Linked DNA regions of Schizosaccharomyces pombe. The gene in region 2 interacts genetically with the main gene of each other region. Each region holds a gene or a part of one and is shown on either strand. Other genes may lie near its edges.

Evidence for each region. A genetic interaction does not mean that the proteins touch.
Region 1: of gnr1 (region 2) and git5, changing one suppresses a phenotype caused by changing the other (phenotypic suppression), as found in Schizosaccharomyces pombe (one study listed by BioGRID).

The regions. Positions count from the first base shown.
Region 1 is NC_003423.3:1,462,089-1,466,245, reverse strand, and holds git5 (heterotrimeric G protein beta (WD repeat) subunit Git5), read right to left. Parts: upstream 2,398-4,157; 5' UTR 1,921-2,397; coding exon 1,003-1,920; 3' UTR 501-1,002; downstream 1-500. Other genes in the region: putative alpha-1,2-mannosyltransferase Omh5, read left to right, coding at 1-108, 211-435; mug93 (TPR repeat-containing protein), read right to left, coding at 3,163-4,147. UniProt on the Schizosaccharomyces pombe protein: Beta subunit of the heterotrimeric guanine nucleotide-binding protein (G protein) involved in glucose-induced cAMP signaling.
Region 2 is NC_003421.2:765,105-769,243, reverse strand, and holds gnr1 (heterotrimeric G protein beta subunit Gnr1 ), read left to right. Parts: upstream 1-1,700; 5' UTR 1,701-1,874; coding exon 1,875-3,074; 3' UTR 3,075-3,308; downstream 3,309-4,139. Other genes in the region: wybutosine biosynthesis protein Tyw1, read left to right, coding at 1-1,258. UniProt on the Schizosaccharomyces pombe protein: Negatively regulates the pheromone-response pathway. Acts as a structural mimic of the G protein beta subunit thereby interacting with gpa1 which then inhibits gpa1 signaling.

The sequences.
Region 1 (4,157 bases), on a different chromosome or scaffold from region 2:
CATTTTTGGAGTAACTTCGAAATTGCACGCTTAGACTTTTACAATAGTAAAGAGTATAATGAATATGTCGACGCATTGGAAAATGCTGGAGGATTTTGGACTGAAAGGGTATGTTTTTACAGTTTATTCAAAAAAAAAAAAGCATTGTGTTCTTCGAAGTGCAATCTTCTTCATACTTTTTTCCTATCTCTGATTACTAACTTATTTTAGTGGGGCGATGCTCCGGTGCATTCGCTAGCAGTGGGTCTTCTCCTTAATCGATCTCAAGTCCATTACTTTAGAGACCTTGGGTATCAACATTCCACAATTCAACACTGTGGTCAAGAATATGGTTGTAATTGTGATTGCCCCTTCAACATACCCGATTATGAAACTAAGCCAGGTTCTTGTATTAACGAGTGGGCATCGGTGATGGGGGGATTTTTAGATGAATAAGAGCGAATACGGGTACTTTACGCTCTTTGTATTATAGCTATTTACAGTTTCTTTCAATTCGTAGTATACATACATAGAATTTTATTTAATAAAAGAATTTAATATTTGGGTTGTTCTTTCATAAAAATAAGTTTTAAAAAACAGCAAGACAACATTTATAAAAAAGTTTATTATCATACGTAAGAAGAAAAATACCTTTAAGAAAAAAAGACTAAAGGGTAATCGTTAGGATTAAACGTTTACAAAATCGCAATAATTAAATAGTAATAAAAAAGCGCCAACCTTTGCAAGGCGAAATTTTCGAAAAGGTATATTTTTGTTTAGAAATAAAAGAGAAACGTAACGAAAAAAATAGGGAATTAGTACACAAGGGTTTATGAATACATTATCAGTAAAGCATCACGAAACCACGCATAAACGTATAAAAAATTAAGAAAAATAATAAACCAGTGGGACATGAAGCAGTCAACCTCCTAGAATCGAAAACGTAAATGTATAAGAAAAAAAAACAAAACAAACATCATCATTTCCAAAGACAAAAAAAAAAGGAGAAAAAAAATCATTAATTTACCCTGACGAAGACCAGAGACGAACACATTCGTCCCAAGAGCCAGTTGCCAACATTGTTCCATCAGAAGTTAAAGCTAAAGAGCTAATTCGATTTTCATGGCCTGTTAATGATGTGATGGTTTTGCTTGAGATGGAATCCCAAACCTCGCATGTTTTATCTTTTGCGATAAAAAGAAGTTTTCCAGACTTGGAAAATAAGACTGAATTAATGGGGGAGGATGATGGAGATGAATACTGGAATATCTCAGCAGAAGCACGAATGTCAAAGCACCGAGCGATACCATCCTCTGCACCCGTAACAAAATCAGCGTTAGAAGGAAAAAAGGAAATGGAATTAATATCCGATGTATTTCCGGGAAATGTGGCACAACAATAAGCAGCCCGAAGGTCCCAGAGCTTGGCTAATTTGTCACAGCCTCCGGTAACAAATAAATTGGGATTTGAGGGTAGGAAATCTAGAGAGACAATATCCATTTCATGACCTTTCAAAACGCTAATGGCTTTTGCCTGCTCTATGTCCCAAAACATGCAAGTTTTATCGCCAGAACCCGTAAGCAAATGACCGTCATCGACATACTTACAGCACGAAACAAATCCTGCATGCCCAACCAATTCGACCGGATCCGCATCTGGAACACTGGTATCGTATACTACGCAAAAGTTGTTCAGCCCTCCAGCTGCTATGCTCTTAGTGGAGGGTGAGAATGCACAAGTCATAATCCATACGCTTGGTGCTTCAAAGAACGCAACTTTGTTGGAAGTGTGCAAATCCCAAACTAACAGAACATCATTCGTTGATGCAGATAATAAGTACTTTCCATCTGTAGATATGTCGATGTCAGGAATTTTTCCCAGCTTGTTTTTGAGAACTCGAGTCCCTTGAATGTTGACGTTTACTCTTGACCCAGAATCCATCTTTAGAAATTGAACCAGTATTCCGTCTAATATTCATACAACAGTAACGTAACTGTTCCTATACGATATACTCACAAAGAAAGGGGAGGAAATAAGGATACTAAAGATCTTAGGAAGAAAAGCGAAAAGAATATAAATCCACCTGATAAACTACTCTCACAACAACAAATTTAGAATACTCCTACAGGGGTGCCCAACTTTAAATCCACCCTAAAGAGTAAAAAATAAAAGAAAAACAATACAAAAAAAAGGAAGAGAATAGTAATGGTGCTTCGTTTAAAGAATTGCAAGCTCTAATGTTAAAATTGGCGTTCGCCTTTGAAACAATTTTACGATGACAAGCCTCTATACAATCTATTATTCTAATACAAGCACAAAAACATAAACACCAAAAGGACCAACGTATCGTTTTTCAACAAACACAAAAAAACGGCTTTCTTCGCTTTTTTACTGGAATTTATGTAAAGAGCTAAGGTCAAAAGAAGAGTATTGGGAAACCGTCATAGTGTGTGCAGCGTAACACAAACATATGGAATACGTCATCCTCATCGTAAGCATATAATAGCCGATTCATTCTGCGGTTTTCAACTTGTAGACTACCATAACCTTGCCATACCGATAAAATTGTATGAAATGAACGTTTAGTTAATAGAGATAATAGAAAATTGAAAAACCTGCATTAGACATATATTTTTTTGCTGTTGTAGCGATTATGAGAAAAGGGTTGCTTTACCACGTTGGCTGTGTATCTGTGAAATGGCTTTGTTATAAATAAACAAGCAATTTAGTAACAGAGATGTAGATATTTTGGATATCTTTTTTATTTTGATTAAATCGTGAATATGCGATTCATGGCATATACTCAGAGTATGAGAAACGGCAGTATTGGTGTGCAACACAAAACTGTCTTGAAAGTTTTTTTGTCTCTTTCATTTTGTTCAATTTCTTTAACAATTACACTTAACATTTGACGGACAATACTTGTGTATTGGGTCGATGACTGTCTTCATTGCTTGGTGTATCCGGCGGTAAACAAAATGGCAAACATTTCTACTTTGCCCACAAATATATAGCTTCATGTGGTTGATAATGATTATTTCAGCACTGAAAATAAGAGGTTGATATACAATGAATGTGTTATTCATAAACTACACACGGTTATTAATGCCTTCTACTCCAAATGATTGCATCGATGGTTTCTGGACTGACTTAACATACAAAAATTTATTGTCATCAATGTTATCATGTGTAGCAATTGATTGGGATCTCTGCAATTTCAAATTCAGAAGAGAGATCAGTATTGTTGATGGGTTTTTTGGAAACATGCCAGTTTCTGAATTCTTCTTCTTGGATGTCAGGAATATGCAAAAGAATTTGAGCTGCCGTTATATGTAAACAATGTTGCACGACAAAACTGAACCACGGCAGCCCACTCAACGCTTGCATCAGCGATCGTGCCTTGTCGGACCATTGCTTGCAAAACCTTGAACACAATCCGATATAGTGTATTGATTTTAAGAATAAATTTAACTGCTCAACCGACATTCCATGAGCTTTGAACAATTGATTAATTGTGGAAATAGGAAATGAAAACGTTTCAATGTACAAACAGGGGGCAGATAGGACTTTTATCATATAAAGAAACTGATCTATGTTTTGAGGGCATGGGTAATTGGATCTGTACAGTTCCTCTGGGACCAATAGAGAGTGTTCTCCCTTAGTTATTTTATTTTCTAATTCGTCCTCCGAGCTTTCTATTCCGATTTGGGCGCTGGGCGAGTGATTTTCGGTATCATCCTTTGCATAAGTATTTGCCATGTAAAGCATAGACCGCATTGCTGAAAGATTCTCCTTTTTCAGTTCGCATTGCTGTCCACACAATTGGCAATTGTCGTGCACTTTCTTCCACCAGATCTTGCCACGAATTATATTAGGGTATTGTTTTCGCAATCCTACAGGTAATTGCTGAGAAGAAGCAACTCTAAGGTGTCTTAACTGCCATGTTTCTGCACATTCTCTGTAAATGTAATACACTTCCTTTAATCTATGAAGAGATTTTTGGATGTATGTATTGTTTGGGTCCAGTTCAAGTGAATGCTCCCAATCACGATTGGCTAAGTGAGGATGTCCAAGTCGCAAATAAGCTAGTCCTCTCCTCCATATCACTTTTTTATCATACGGATTGATGACTAGAGCATATGTACAGTCATGAACTACTTTAGTATAGCTGCATGCAA
Region 2 (4,139 bases):
TGTTGAGGATATGGGTTCCATGATGGCCAAGGCAAAGGCAGAAGCAGCCTTGCCAGTGGGTACTAAAGAGATGGTTTCGACAGAGTCTCCTACGTATAAAGCCCTTACAAAGCAGGGATACAGCGTAGTTGGCTCACATAGTGGTGTAAAGATTTGCAGATGGACAAAGTCTGCTATGCGTGGCCGAGGCTTTTGCTATAAGTATAGTTTCTATGGAATTCGAAGTCATCTATGTATGGAAGCTACCCCAAGTTTAGCCTGTGCTAATAAATGTACTTTTTGTTGGAGACATGGTACGAATCCCGTAGGAACCTCTTGGCGCTGGAAGGTTGATCCTCCAGAAATGATACTTCAGGGTATATTGAAGGCTCATTATGCCAAGTTAAAATTAATGAAAGGTGTACCTGGTGTTCTACCCGACAGATATGAAGAAGCGTCTCGTGTTCGTCACTGTGCTTTGTCCTTGGTTGGAGAGCCTATATTTTATCCATACATAAACGAATTTGTGTCCATGCTTCATGAAAGAGAGATTTCATCGTTCTTAGTAACAAATGCCCAGCATCCTGAAGCATTAAGAAATATGGGTATGGTCACTCAACTCTACGTTTCTGTTGATGCCAGTACTAAGCAGAGTCTCAAATCAGTAGACCGACCATTATTCAAGGATTTTTGGGAGCGAATGCTAACGTGTTTGGAGATTTTACGTGAAAAGCGGCAGCGTACTGTTTACCGAATGACCTTGGTGAAGGGATTCAACATGGAGCAAATTAAAGAGTATACTGAACTGATTCGTCTTGGTGTGCCTTGTTTCATCGAAGTTAAGGGGGTTACTTATAGTGGTAATTCGGATCAATCACCGTTGACTATGAAGAATGTGCCTTATTATGAAGAGGTAATTGACTTTGTTAAAAAATTGATTGAGTATATTGATATTCATTTACAAGACCTTGGCGTCCGCTATGAAATTGCTGCAGAACATGCACACAGCTGCAGTATTTTAGTTGCTCAAACTGCGTTCAAAAAAGATGGCCATTGGCATACTCACATTGATTATCCAAAGTTTTTCGAATTAATACGGACAAAGAAAGACTTTGGTCCATTCGATTATATGGCATCCACGCCCGATTTTGCCATGTTTGGGAACGGTGGATTCAGTCCAGAGGATACAAGATTTCACAGGAAGAAAAAGACACAAACATCTAAACCAATTTCTGCAACCATTTCAGAAACTGCTACAATTTCGGAAGCCGCTGCGTAAGCCAACTTTTGTAGTAAATAGCTGAAGAAAAAAAAGAGTGACACACTCTAAAGTTTATGAACTGTTGAGCAGTTTTTGTACGCGTCTGCACTCATTGATAAAAAAAAATTAAGATTTTGGCATAGGTTATTTTCGTTAATTCATTAATATATTTTTTGATTTATCAATACAAAAAAACGATGAAGGCTTATTTGCTTAATTTCGTTCATATATTTATAGTTTCAATGGGCGTAAAGTAATAAAAATGTTGACGATATTGTACTCAATTGTTTTTTTAGTTAGACAAGTATATCGCAACCTGTCTCTATTTTTATTTATATAGTAACCTGAGTCGTAACTTTTAATTTTCTTTTTTTTTTATGATTGAGAAACAAAGAATACATTCTTTCTGTTTTAGGACTCGTGGAAATGTCTTGGAGTAATTCGAGCATACTGAGATTACAACTACTACATATGATTACAATTCGTTTTTTAAAGAAGGACTATTCGTTTTCAACCCTTATGACCAGATAGAAAGAAATCCATATATATATTATATATTTAAAAAATTAAAGTTGACATTGTGAAGAGCCATAATCCATACATGGTTAATAAAGTAGGTTAACTTGAGGAAGGAATGGATAATTGTGTAAACTCCTTTGAGGATCAGAAGGATGACTTGGTGCATAAGAAGAAAAGTCAAAATTTCGGCTATGTATGCGGAAGTATTAATTTAGGAACAAATGTGATTGCTCAAAGTCCAACAAAGCCATTGAATTTTTTTCATTCGTCAAGATGGTCGCCGGATGGATCGACTATACTTTCGTTAACAGAGGATCAATGTCTTAACTGTTGGAATGTGCCGTTTTCCGATTTATCCAAAAAGGCTGATGGACCATTGAACTTTTCAAAACATCTGTCGTATAAATATCAATCACCGGAAACAGTTTACAGTTACAGTTGGTATTCGAGAATGAAACTTGACGATCCTTCCAGTAACCTTTTTGCAGTGTCTAGTAGGGATCAACCTATCAAGTTGATCAATTTTACTACAGGAAAGAACAAGGCTTCATATCACATGATAGATCACCAAGAGAGATATCAAGGATCGCATTGTTTACAGTTTACCAACGATGGGGAGTATTTGATTGCGGGTGATAAAAACTGTCTCCATCATTTTAATATAAGAACGGGATGTAAAGAACCTGTCATGACAACGGTAACCCATGGATATAAAGTCCCTCTTTGGGAATTTAGTCTTAAGGGTATACAGTCATGCTTTTCCTTGAATCCGATGGATTCGAAAACATTGGCAGTGGGAACGTATTCAAATCGAGTTGGGATTTATAATGATTGCGGACGTCGCCCTTGTCAGCTAGAGTTTTCGATTGAAAGAGGAAACGGAGTGACACATCTACAATGGTGTGAGGATGGAGAAAAGTTATATGTTGGAAGCAGATGCAGTGATAAGATTGAAGTTTGGGATATACGGTATGTGCGCGACATGGTATATGCTCTTGAAGGGCATCGTGGCGATACGAACCAAAGGATTCTTTTCGACACTGATAAAAAGGATGAAATTTTGGCAGGTGGGACGGATGGAAGTATTCGTAGATGGAGAAACAAGGATCTTGTGGAAGAAACGCATGTGACGGGAAATTACGATTTGACGGTAAACACAGTACAAGCGAACCCTATAAACATGCAGATAAAGTGTGTATGTTATGGAAATAGAATTTACAAGTATGAGAAGGATGAAAGTGAAGAAGAGGATGAAAGTAAAGAGAAGGATCTTTGGACAGGAACGGTTTCGGCTTTACAGGTTTGGATGGATTGAAAAAGCAAAATTTGGAATGAATGAATACTTGAAAAAATAAAAAATGGTGAGCTTGAAGGAAGAACTTTATGAGGATGATTTGATTATTAATAGAAAAACATTAGAAAACCGGTTCTAAATTGGTGTATTGGTGAATGGGTGTTTTTTTCGCAATCAGGAGGAGTCCTCAGACATGTTGAGGGGTTTCATTATTTAGATTATGATAAATTAAAAAATAAAAGAGATGAATTTTATGCAAATAGTTGATTATAAGAGCGCAACAATCTTTGTATTAATAAAACTACACATTCGCTTATTAAATAACCTTAAACTCGGTTATACATGGATTTCCAAGTGTCGCAAGTAGAGGAGAAATGGAGAAAATGGAAAGCAAAGAATGGATGAAAATTGTAAATCAGCAGTTTCGAACTTTTCAAAAATTTGTTAAAAATATTAATTTTTCAATTTAATTGAATTTTGTTTTACAAGGTGGATACTATGGAGGAAAAAACAAGATATGTATGGAAAAGGTAGCGATCGCAAAGGAAAAAAAATATTAGAAAAGGAAATGGAATGAAATTAATTGAACGAAATGAAAAGGACATGAAAATAAACAGAAGTATAGAACAAGAAAAAAAAAATTTTTTTTTAAAATAACATAAGGATGGAAGTGATCCGGAGTGAATAAATAGAGGGAAATGAAAAAAATAAATAAATAAAAAATAAATAATAAAATAAAAAATATTTATATACACATACATATAGATTGGAAAAAGATGAAAGAAAAAAAATGAACCAACCAATCTATCAATAAGTAAATCAATTAATCAATAAATATATAAAAATAAAAATTCTAAAACCAAGAAAAAAAAAAGAAAAAGAAAAAAGATTGAAATCTTATAAACAAATCCTTCTACGCTGCATACAAACACGTTACCACAGTCTGGAGTACTGTTGGAGAGTGAACCGAGACAGCCGCGGGGCGGTCCTTCGGCGAAACCAACGAGACGTTAAATATTTGCGATAATATTGTATAGTGCAAGTATGATAAAGACCGGTAACAAAAGTATAGCGGAAATTGAAAAC